Rattus norvegicus: one gene and its partners. The main gene of each other region encodes a partner of the protein of the gene in region 2 in a complex. Links are inferred from orthologs where the notes say so. Each region holds a gene or a part of one and is shown on either strand. Other genes may lie near its edges. The genes, in order: Mitf, Ep300 and Nutm1.

What was found.
Region 1: the proteins of Ep300 (region 2) and Mitf are in contact, whole or in part, in an NMR structure (PDB 8E1D), measured with the Homo sapiens proteins. The link is inferred for Rattus norvegicus from reciprocal best matches to the Homo sapiens genes EP300 and MITF. Residues at the interface, in NP_001420.2 of Homo sapiens: Ala1723, Ser1726, Pro1727, Gly1728, Arg1731, Ser1734, Ile1735, Pro1780, Lys1783, Gln1784, Ala1787, Leu1788, Lys1794; in NP_001341533.1 of Homo sapiens: Val226, Ile230, Leu233, Glu234, Ser235, Tyr237, Asn238, Glu239, Glu240, Ile241, Asp246.
Region 3: the proteins of Ep300 (region 2) and Nutm1 are in contact, whole or in part, in an NMR structure (PDB 7XFG), measured with the Homo sapiens proteins. The link is inferred for Rattus norvegicus from reciprocal best matches to the Homo sapiens genes EP300 and NUTM1. Residues at the interface, in NP_001420.2 of Homo sapiens: Arg1731, Ser1734, Ile1735, Arg1737, Ser1757, Lys1760, Met1761, Val1764, Ile1781, Lys1783, Gln1784, Leu1785, Ile1786, Ala1787, Leu1788, Tyr1791, Lys1794; in NP_786883.2 of Homo sapiens: Tyr405, Pro406, Asp407, Pro408, Gly409, Leu410, Leu411, Tyr413, Ile414, Glu416.

The regions. Positions count from the first base shown.
Region 1 is NC_086022.1:131,964,397-131,968,629, reverse strand, and holds the start of Mitf (microphthalmia-associated transcription factor), read right to left. Parts: upstream 2,891-4,233; 5' UTR 2,759-2,890; coding exon 2,655-2,758; intron 1-2,654. UniProt on the Homo sapiens protein: Transcription factor that acts as a master regulator of melanocyte survival and differentiation as well as melanosome biogenesis.
Region 2 is NC_086025.1:115,036,312-115,039,902, reverse strand, and holds part of Ep300 (histone acetyltransferase p300), read right to left. Parts: intron 3,501-3,591; coding exon 3,356-3,500; intron 2,130-3,355; coding exon 2,011-2,129; intron 522-2,010; coding exon 282-521; intron 1-281. UniProt on the Homo sapiens protein: Functions as a histone acetyltransferase and regulates transcription via chromatin remodeling. Acetylates all four core histones in nucleosomes. Histone acetylation gives an epigenetic tag for transcriptional activation.
Region 3 is NC_086021.1:119,515,888-119,519,911, forward strand, and holds the start of Nutm1 (NUT family member 1), read right to left. Parts: upstream 2,823-4,024; 5' UTR 2,713-2,822; coding exon 2,697-2,712; intron 330-2,696; coding exon 1-329. UniProt on the Homo sapiens protein: Plays a role in the regulation of proliferation. Regulates TERT expression by modulating SP1 binding to TERT promoter binding sites.

The DNA of each region.
Region 1 (4,233 bases), on a different chromosome or scaffold from region 2:
CCCCAGGTCTGGGGTTACAACTGCCAAGCACCATGCCTGCCTTCTTCATGTGGGCTCCTGGAAAAGAACTCAGGTCCTCACAGTCGTGTGGCAAGCACACAAGTTACTGAGTCAGGTCTCAGCCTTAAAAAAGAAAAAAATCAGTTTAATAAGAACGCTGGGCGCTAAATTTAAAAGGTACTAAAACGGGCCAACGTTGAGAGAGCTAAGAGATTGCTGCAATAACTCAGGCAAAAACTGACACTGACTTGGTCAAAGTCAGAGCAGAGAAATAGGCAAGAAATGGGTGAATCCTGAAACAATCTATACCAGTGGTTCTCGACCTTCCTAATGTTGCAACCCTTTAATACAGTTCCTCATGTTCTGGTGACCCCCAACCATAAAATTACTTTTGTTGCTACTTCATAACTGTAATTTTGCTACTGCCTTGAGTCATAAATGTAAATATCTGATTATGCAGGATAGCTGATATTCGACCCCTGTGAAAGGGTCATACAACAGCCCCCACAGGGGTCACGACCCGCAGGTTGAGAATTGCTGATGGAGACAATACAGTGGGATGTCCTTGTTTTGAGAATCTGCAAGTTTTCATTACAACCTTTTTCCAACCAGGACTTTAAGGGTTCCCCAGTAGACTTCAATTGCAAGCAATGAGAAGGCCCTGAACTGCATTTAAAGTCACACAACAAATGTCAATGGTAATATCATTAGGACAACGGTCAAAAACAATATGTCACCCTCTCCAGAAAATTATTCACAGATTTTATTTAATGGGTCGATTTCAAAGAGCATACCTGGCACCTGCTGCTCGTACTAACGTGTGAAGCTGTTTATGCCCACATCCCCACATTTTTCCTTCTGTGCTAGCTAGCTAGCTCCAGAGGACACGTGCTCTTGTGTGCCATTCTTGCTGACTGTGAGAAAGAATAGAACCAAATCCTTCTACGTGAGTGTCAGGGCACTCGTTGGTTTTCCCCAAAGGTACTTTCCTCACTCCCTAAAACTCATTTAATGTAACAGCCACCATCCAAATGATTCGAACAGCACAGTTAATTCATTTCTTTCAGCAACACACACACACACACACACACACACACACACACACACACACACTCCCCCTCATTCTGGCCTTGTAAGCATTTGCTTATAGAAGCAAAAGCAGGGACTGCTCAGTAAAACACTGGTCCCTTCAGCCACATGCAGATAAAGCTCTAGTGAGCATAACCAACAATACGCCTTACACAGTGTCACTCAGAGCACCCAATACACCCCATCTACGGTCACATACAAATAGCCTTTATGAAAAGAAGCCACTAGTGAAAGGCTGAGTTTATGCATCTTGATGCCTAACACATTTCCTTCCACTCTGCCACAAGCATGTACAAAAAGCCTGCTCGAGCAAGAGCAAACTCTTCCCAGAGTTTGTTCCCATTACTGGATTCAAGGTCCTGCCCCAGCCCCGAAGGAAAGGAACCTGGCTCCACTCTCCAGCAGTTAAGACTCAGCTTCCTTCTCTCCCAAAGCAAGGATTCTGCCCCTCACTTCTGCCTCCCTGGCTCCTGAAAGGGAGGCCCTCCGCCCCTTTGCCAGGTAGGAAGTGGAGACCTCACTCATCCAGACCCTAGACAGTCGAGGTGATGATGCTTCCTGGGTTAGCCTTACTTCATCTCACAACCGAAAGGGTAGAAACAAAGTCACAGATTCCAGTGACTACCCCCTCCCTCCATAAACATTACAAATAAAAAGGGCTTCAAGGGTCCAGAGTGACCAAGGAGAGTTATAACCAATTCTGCCAGACAAGTAGCAATGAAGGGTGGTGTGAGGGATAACAATTCTGCAGAGGTACTGACTGTTAGGAGGCACCAGACTAGAGAGCATCTTCACTCCAAGCCCAAAGTTCTTGAAGCACCTGGAGAATTAAATGTGTGTAGCTGCCAAGGAGATCATTCCCAACCACCACAGGCCTCTAAGATAGCTTAATTGCTCCCTCCCTTCCTTTAGCATTTGCAAGGAAGAATGGGGAGACACGCCCACCCGCAACCTCCCCCCCCACCCCCCATCCACCCCACACACACTACCTCCCGCCCAGGGCGCGGGTGCTGTTCTGTGGGAGGTGGAAGGTAAAAGCCAGGTGAACTTCACTTAGAGGTCTCTCTAAGTAGTATGTCCCAGGGGGGCTAGACTACAAGGGAAGGCCAGTTCATTGCTACCCTGAAGCATCAGATCTCCATCCACCCCAGGCTCTCCCTCTCGGAGCCCATCAGCCTGCTTAGGATCTTCAGAAAAATTACTCCTGGTAGCACCAGATCACCGTCCCTGTCCGGTGCTCCTCCTACCCCACCTCGCGCCGGGTACCGCCCCAGCCCCCATCCAGCTCAGCAGCTGGCATCTGCAGTCAAGGGTCCCCAAGCCTGGATGACCCATCCCAAGAGACTCACGGTGTCCCAAGAGTGCCACTGTCAGATAACCTGGGATGCGAGCAAGTCATCTGTGAGCAGGACCCTAAATGCCAGGGGCTAGGTCGCCCTGTACCCCAAGCAAGGGCACGGGGTCCTTGTCCCAGAGCTATCCAGACTGGCTGTTCTCCTCCCAGGGTAGCAGGCGCCGGGCCCTTGGGCCTCCTGCCGCGCCTCCCTCCAGCTGTCACCACTCACCTGCTCTTCAGAGGTTGACTTTTGAGTTCGTAATAGGTTTTGGGTTCTTCGTGAAACTCCTCCCCGACTTCGAAATCCGCCACGATTCCCGATTCAGACTGCATGACTCCTGCTTGCCCGCCTTCCACTGCTTGGGACTTGGACCAGAACCCGGGCACCTGACAAAGATGGGGAGGGCCTCGGGTACCCCAAGACGCGCGCCCCGCTCAGTGCCCCACTCAGCCCGCTAGCCCGCTGCCCGCCCCGGCGCGGTGAGTTTACTCTCACACCAGGGCGGGAGGGGCCGGGCCCGGTGCGCTCTGGGATTTGTGGTTCTGCCCAGGCCCAGCATACCAGCTCTCCAGGATATCAGCTTCCGCAAAACTACAATTCCCAGAAGGCCAAACCGGGGAGAGGCAACGTGGTGTACACCGATAGTGCAAGTCCTGTTTGGATTCCTTGTCAATGTCAGCAGCTCCTCTCCGTGTCTCTCCCGTTTGCCTCAAGGATACAGACCTGGCTGTTTAATATTAATAAGAACGGACTCAGTCTGGGCTTCTACTGTCCCTCCTGGTTTAGACATCTGCGAAGACACTCGGAGCGTTCATTCAAAAAAATAAAACACTAAGGGGTTTTGACGCTAGAAAGTTTCGGTCAGAGTTAAAGCCCATTTTAAAAATAAAAGTGCTTTCTATTCGCCCCCGAGCTCTTCTGGGCTGCAGCGACACATCATTTTGTCCTCAATTGGAACAGAGTGTTGGAAACTTCACTTTTATAATGAAAGCGTTATTGGAGGAGTTGTTCTTGTGCCTTCCTTTTCTGGAACTCCTTCTGGGCTCCCAGAATACTCTTCATCCGTTGAAAGGCTTCTTTCCTTTTATCCAATTAGTCACCTCTAATCTAAAGCAGCACTTGAAAGATTCAGTTAATTTTAAAAGGCACCAAGTAACCAAACAGCTCACCACCGTCTGCTTTCAATTTCTCAGTTGGCTGGGAGTTCAAATGAGATTGTCCTAACATTGCATGCCGGTGCAGCTTCGAGGCACTCGGTTAGGTGATTATTAAATGGCTGCACTTTGGTTCATTTGTATGTCCAGACCTGTCTTCTGGTTAGTTCCAGCAGGACTCTTCATCGTGTATAAACAACAACGAATGCTTTGAGATATCGGTGTTAAGGGTGGCATTTTAAGATGGTAGAAATCCCCAGTTGTTCTAGGAAATCCTGTGCAATCTTAGACATGTCTGTTTCATTCCTAGAAACCTTAATTTCCTCATCTATGAAAGAAGAGATTAGGAAACCTGTTTGAGATGGTGTTGCAAGGTCAAAAGTAAGAAAAAAAATTACTTGCAATTTATATGCACTGGGGGCAGGCAAAATGGTTCAGCCAGTAAAATGTGTTTATTTGCAAACACAACCTGCAATTGATCCTCAGGACACTCGTGACGAAAGTAGGGAACTGTTAACTCCTGAAAGCCAACTTCTAACAGACAAATGCAGGTGCCCACACACATGCACATGCAGCAGACACACATAATACATGCATAGAACTTGTTAAAAGCTATTCAATGACTATTAATCTTGGCTTTCTTTCGGCTATCT
Region 2 (3,591 bases):
GGGCCTGTTGGGGTTGGTAGCACATTGGTAAAGTGATTCAACAATCTGTTTTGACCTCCAGCCACATGAGAAAAGGAACAGGGATGGGGAGAGTCAAAGTCAGAAGCAGGGTATGTTTAACCCAAGTCACCATTAGATTCTAGGTTAGAAATTAAAGACAGGGGGTTGGGGATTTAGCTCAGTGGTAGAGCGCTTGCCTAGGAAGCGCAAGGCCCTGGGTTCGGTCCCCAGCTCCGAAAAAAAGAAAGAAATTAAAGACAGATCTGAAAGCTGCTTCTTACCTTTCTGCCACAGCAGTAGCCAAGGCTTTGCATGACAGGGTCAATTTCTTGTTCAAATACTTCAGAAAGTTTGGAGCAATATTTGTATACCCTTGAAGTTTTACGGTTATATAACCAAGCATTGTTGAACATAAGCCAAATATCATCTATATATTGCCAGGGCTCTTGATACTGTCCAGTATCTAACTTCCTCTTGATTGTAGAAAGATCCATGGGGCTCTTCACAATATCAAAGTAATCCTAGAAGTATAAGCAACACCACATCACATACTCATGAGCAGGGTATTTAGGGGAAAGGGCGTGTCTTTCTATCAACAGCATTAATTTTCCACACAATGAAATGTGTCCCAGGAGTTGACCAAAGTCTGTCACTTCTTTAAATACTAATCTACCAATGTATTAAGAGGTTTTGAGGATTAAATACTAGAAGGCGGCCTACAAATCCTAAAAAATTAGTGTTGTAAGGAAACAGAAAAACATGGAAAAATATCCTGAATAAACTGTGCCCCTGAAAAGCACTCTAATACCATATCCACAAAATAACACTTATGAAAATCTTTGAATAAAACCTGCAAGCAATCTGGGTGCAATACAATTTCCAAACATTTCAAAACTAACTTTGGGGAAGCAGGCAGATCGATGACCATGAATTTGAAGACAATTTCAGGCCAACTAGGCATACATATATACCCCCAACACAAACCGAGTCTCAAAAAAACAACAACAAAACCAAAAACTTGATTGAAATAGAGGAAGAGTCACTGACCAATGGCTCTGCAGTTAAAACCATTCGCTGCTCTTAGAGTGGTTGCGCTTTCTGCACCTCCATGATAGCTCACAACCATCTTTAACTCCAGTTGTAGGGGGATTCACCACCTTCTTTTAGCCAACGAACCACACACACACACACACACACACACACACACACACACACACACACACACACACACACACACACACACCATACACACGAAATATAAATAAATCTTCAGAAACAAGGAACTCATGTTTTTACCATGATCTATAGCTGTTCAAGTGATAATAAATTGTTGACCCAACAACTGTACCTCTAATATACCAAAGAGATTCATAAATCTGTAACACAAAAACTTACAAACTCCTGTAATATCGGTGCATGAAGTCAAGGCAGGACCTAAAAGTTCAAGGATAACTTGGGGTACAACGTGAGACACACTCTCAACAACTAAACAAATAGCAAAGCAGTACTGGTACACCAACATTAACAGAGGTCAGTCTCAATGGCCCAAAACTGGAAATAGCCAGATACTTGCCAATTAAATACATGCACAAAATGCAGTGGCATCGACATGACTGAGTGTTACGATACACGAAGCACTGGCTGACACGTAACAACTGACACGGGAGAACCGCAAAGTCTGTGCTGCTGACCAGGGTCAGTGCAAAGCCCTCGTTCTACATTGAGTGTGATTCTCAACACCAGAAGAGGAAAAACAAACCACAAGAATCCAGAGGAATTAGGCAGCCTGGGCCTGGGAAAGAGTAAAAGTGCTCCAACTAGTGATTTTAATGGAGGTAGGGTTTATTTGAGGAGGTTATGAAAATGCATTAAACCATGGTGATAGTTGTACAATTTAGTTGAAAATGCTAAAACTTGTACACTGTAAACAGGGTAAGTTCTGTAACATGTATTACGTTAATAGAGCCATTTCTCCACCTAAAAGGAAATTAAAAAATACCAAATACTTACAGGGATTCCTAGAAGCTGCGGGTCCACAGGCTGACGAAAGGGAAGGGATTCTGGGTCCTGTCGGTAAAGTGCCTCCAATGTTGGCATCAGAGCCTGCCGTAATTCTTCTGGTTTGAAAACTTTAAGGAGAGTCCATTGAAATCAATTATTGACTGAGCAAAGGATATTAAAAACATATTCATGTTAAAAGTTCTAAAAGCACCTGAAGTATCCTAGACCACAAAAGTGATAATACTGTTCTCAGAGAAACTAAGGGCTCAATTTCGAATTTTAATTCCCACTCTAATATCACTTCCTCCTGTAAAACAACAGAGCTGCCCCATCCCTCACTTTCCAGCTGCAGGTTGATTGAGAATGGACTTGGCCAAATAAAAACTGAAACCAAAGGCAGTCCCAAAAGCTGTCTGTGGAAAGGGGGATCTACCAAGCAGAGCTAGCAGTGTCCTCTTTGAACTGGTGTGGTTGTACAAGGCAGCACTCTTAATGCCAGGCACAACACTGCAGAAAGATATGTGAGGTAAGGTTGTGGGATATAGAACGATAAGGACACAGCAAGGTCCTGTTATGGAATGCATGCTATGAAGAGTTCAAGAAATAAGAGACCAATAATTTAAAAATTTTGAGTTTTATTTTTATTTATCTGTAAGCATTTGTGTACCTGTACACAAACACATTTGTAGAGGTCAAAGAACAATTTGCAGAAGTCAACACTCTTTCCAGAATGGCTTCCAAGTGTGTATGTCTGTGTCTCTCTGTATTTGTAGACCAAGGGTCAACATTAGAGGAGTGTTTCTGTTCAGGTTAATAACCTTGTTTTTCACATTTAATACTTCATTTTATGTGTTTGTGTGTTTGCGTGAATTTATGTGCTAAATAAAGCCTGAGGAAAAAAAGTGGGTGTTTGGATCCTGGAACTGGAGTTACAGGGAATTATAACCTACCACGTGGTTGCTGGGAATCAAACGAGTAGTTAAGCACTTAACTCTCTCAACCCTCTATTCTCAAACCCCTGCCAAAAAGGAGTCTTAGTAGGGTCTGAACTAACCAGCAGGTTCCAGAAATCCTTCTGTCTCTACTTCCCCAGTAGTCAAATTACAAGTGTACCACAATGCTCAGCTATAAGACAGGGTCTCACTGTCTACCTCAGCTCTACCTGGAATTTGCTATGTAGTAAAAACGGCTAGCCTTGAATTCAGATGTTTCTGCCCCTGCCTCCCAAGCACTGGAATTAAACATGTGTACACATCTGGTGCATCTGCACAATAGGTCGCAAACAAATTCAGATCCTGATGGATTGTGGGAAAGGCATTTCACCAAATGGATGACCTCCTGAGCCTTTACTTACTCTTCTTCTTTGACTGTCCAGGAGCAGGGGAGGACTGTGCAGCAGAGGTGCTCGGCTGGTCCTCCTCCTCTTTCACTTCAGTCTTTAACTCAGGGCCTCTCTCCTCTGTTTCTGTAGGTTCTACTTTACCATCCTCAGCTTTAGCCTGAAAGACAAGGCAGAACTTTCACTATTTCACAGACATACTCCTCGGAATAAGTCCATGACCATCACTTATGTATCTACTCTCTTCATTA
Region 3 (4,024 bases), on a different chromosome or scaffold from region 2:
GTTTAGGGCCGTCTGAGTAACTATAAGGTTCTGAGTTTGAGAGGACTCAGCTGGCCCCACATCTGTCTTGACTTTGACAATGACCTGGCCAGTTCCAGCCACACTGGGGCCAGGGCCTCCTTCTCCTGTCACCAACAATGGGCTGGGGAAAGCAGAAAGGAGCAGAGGATTGCCTGGAGAGAAGACAGGCGGTATAGGGGGCTGTGGTGATGGCTCCCAGAGGGATTGGTCTGGTGGAATGGGAGGAGGTGGGGCAAAGGGAAGTGTACTGAAAGGGGACAGGCCAGTACCAGGTTTCATGGCCATATCTGGTCCTGGTAATGGAGAGGCTGTTGAGACAAAGAAGAGAAGGGAGTAGGAAGAAGTTAGGCCATTTGACTTCCTTTAAGTCCCTAGGGGGTTAGAGCAATGACTCAACATGTGAAGGAAGGGACATGGATGGGTATATTTGCAATTGCCTCTCAAGTAGTCCTTTACCCCTGAGCTAGTAGGCTAGAGAAGTTGCTCCCTTTCAAAGAGACACCATCCCTGCCTGTAAGAGCGTCTCTCATAACACTCCCGAAGACCTTCCCTGCCAGTTCCATAGGCAGATCAAGAAGATGAGAAATAGGAAAAGCAGTCTGCAAGCATGCCGAGTGCAGGCGAAATTCCTGGCTCTTGAGAAGCACTCATGAGACCCCCGAGAAGGAGGTGGTTTCACAAACACTGGCCCATCCCTCTCCTCCTTTTCCTGTACCGCTTTCTCCTAATAATCTCCTCAAATAACAGAAGATGCAGTTTATGAACAGGCTCAATGACCCCAGGACTCATGAAGCTCATTTCTCCAAAAACAGTCCCACTCGAAATGCATGGATCTCTACTAACTCTACCTACTCCACAGGACAGGGAAGCCACCTGATCCCAACCGCTCTATGGCTCCTGTCACTAGCCACAGAAGCACAATTTCCAGGACAGAAAAAGGTCAGCCTAGATTCTTGGTTCCCCGAAATGTCACTGTGGAGAGACAGAAGAACCTTGGAGGGAGGGAGATTTCCAGTACTTTCAGTTTCAACCATGGATGAGTTGAAATTTGGCAGCACAGACTTTCTGTGGACCTGCTTCTTAATAGTAAAAGTTTAGGGATCACAAAGAAGCGCTGGGCTGGAGCTAAGGAAGAAAGAAACCTAGCTCCTGCTAGGGACCAGCTATGTGGACACTGGTCAGGCAGAGGGGGATGATAAGCACCCTTCATTAAAAAGGCCTGCCCGTGTCCCGCATGACTTTTAATGATAAAAACAGAGACAAACTGGCCTAATTTCATTCAATACTTCCTCCTTTTTTCTTAAAAAAAAAGAAAAAAAGTATGCCACTGACAAACCAGTACCACTCAGCTTCCACTTACTAACCATAAAGGAGATATGAAATAGAATCGGACTAATACCAGCAAGTTCTGAACACAGTGAAACTATTCCTAAGGTCTGAGCTCCACAATAGGTAGGAAAACCAAGCATCTCACTGTCTGTCGCTGAGATGGCCTATCTCCTCTATCTGAAAAGCAAGAAAGACTACCTCTAAACAAACAAAATAATTAATACAGTTACTTAAAAAAATAAATGCAGGGGGCTGGAGAGATGGCTCAGAGGTTAAGAGCACTGACTGCTCTTCCAGAGTTCCTGAGTTCAGTTCCCAGCAACCACATGGTGGCTCACAACCATCTGTAATGGGCATCCAATGCCTTCTTCTGGTGTGTCTGAAGACAGCGACAGTGTAGCCGCATACATGAAATTAAAAAATAAATCTTAAAAAAAAAACTTTCCTCTAAAAAAAATGCAGGTCTATAAATACAACCACTCTGGATGACGATCACAAGTTCAAAGTCAGCCTAGGTTACAGAGGGAGTCCAAAGGCAGACTGAGAAACTTAGCGAGACCTTGCCTCAAACTAAAAAGTAAAATGGATGCTGCAGATTTGGCTCACAGAATGCTGAGACAGAGAGAACACACGTGCTCAGAAACGGAAGTCTATGGAAGACCCTCTCCAGAACACTAATTAGATGGAAACTTAACCTAGACTTCCCAACTTCCAGACAGATGCATAATAAATTACAATGAAAGAAAAAACAAAGAGAAAAAAAGCCTGGTGCTTGAACTGACAAGTAGCACCCTTGGGGCTAGGAGGAGTCATCACGCTCTGGGAACAAAAACTTTTACAAAATTTCTAGCCCTGTTCACGGGCTCATAAATGAATAACCCCACTGAGTTTTAGCTTTCTGAGAAAGGCTAATTAATCGGCCTGGCCCAATCCCACTGCTCCACCCTTCCTGGAGTGATCAAGAGAGTTGGCCCTGCCTTCTTCCCATGGTGAAGTCCTAGAGCAGGTCAAAAGACACGGATTATGGCTCTTCCCTTGAAACCATGGCAACACCACTTATACTAAAACATAAACCTCTGTTTCCACCCCAAGCATGTTAAAGCGGTCCCTCTTCCTGGGAATCAAACTGGTAATTGGTTCCCAGTCCCAATATTCAGTGTGTACTTCTGACAGATTTTGGTTCATTTCCAAGGATGCTCTACCCCATTCTTGATGGTAAAGATCTATTTCTCTGGGCTCCCTAATGCCTGTGTGGGGTTTAATTCCTCAAATCCCTATAGGTTGACCTATGACTTGTCCCTAGGTGACACCGCAGATACCCCGCACTCCAGCACCCCTCGTCTTACATCCATCTGATGCCATAACCCAGGGTTTAGGTACACCAACAGTGGCGGTCTGGATGGCTCCAGGATGAAACAGTTGGGTCCAGGATCCAGGCAATGACCTAGCTCCAACAGATGATATCCAAGGAAGGTAAGCTAAAGACTGGGTCAAAACAGAATTAGAATCTTGGACTCAGGCATTCTGTAGTGGGGGAGGGGAAAGGATATTATGTAGTGAAAATGGGGAGATTTTACTCGATGGGTTTTAGTAAGTAAGCAAAAATTAGAAAATCCCTCAGTGAATTTGATAGCATGATTGCTGGGTGTCCTCTTTTAGGACAGTTTGTCCATCGTCTCTCAGATTCCCAGCATTACACTGCAGTTTTCACTGTTGGCTTCTTACTCTTCTATTCTTCAACGATACAATCTAATCCCGAGCCCTGCCCTTTCTCCAGTTCTGAAACTGGATTACCATTAATAACTGAATGGTGTGGACCTTCGGCTTGCTTCGCTGATGACTCTATTTTCTGAGCCAAATTCAGAGTGCACAGTTTGTATACTTGAAGATTAAAAACTATAAACTAAATGCTTGACATTGAAGTATCTCAGATGATCCAGAATGTTCAACTGCTGTGGGGTGAGCGCCACCTTCCTGAGAAGCCGACAGACACTTGTAATCCTAGGACTTGGGAAGTAAGAGTTTGAGAAAAGTCTGGGCTACAAAGTGGGACTCTCTGAAAAAAAAAATCTCTCTGTAATACCCAAACAGTCCAGCCACAAGAGTTCTGAAATCCATTGGAGCCACGGCCTTTTTTCCACTTGCTGAAAAAACTTACTACATTAAAAAAGATTTTAATTAATTGATTATTTTTGAGACAGGATCTCACTCTTCAGCCCTAGCTGGCTAGGAACTCAACAAAGATCTGGCCACCTCGACCTCCTCAGAACTGGTATTAAAGACCTTCACCTTTAAAAAAGAAAAATAAATAATCTTTAATAGTTTCTAAAGGGTTTATGTAGTTTTGTTTTATGTGTATGAATGTTTGCCTGAATTTATGACTGTGCAGCTGGGTTAATGCCTGGAACCTGCAGAAGCCAGAAGAGGGAGTCAGAGCTTCTAGAACTGGAGTTGGAACCAGTTAGGAGTTGCCATGTGGGTGCTGGCACCTAAAATGGGTCCTCTGCAAGAGAGTCAAGCATCCTTAAGCACTGAGCCACTTCTTCAATTCCTTTTGGATTTTTGAGACAGTCTGGCTATATAGCCTAGGCTGAAAGCTAAGACTCTCTGACCTTAGTCTCTTGCACAACCCCTGCCTTAAGATTACCATAAAGTTTTCTTGTTAAATTACTTT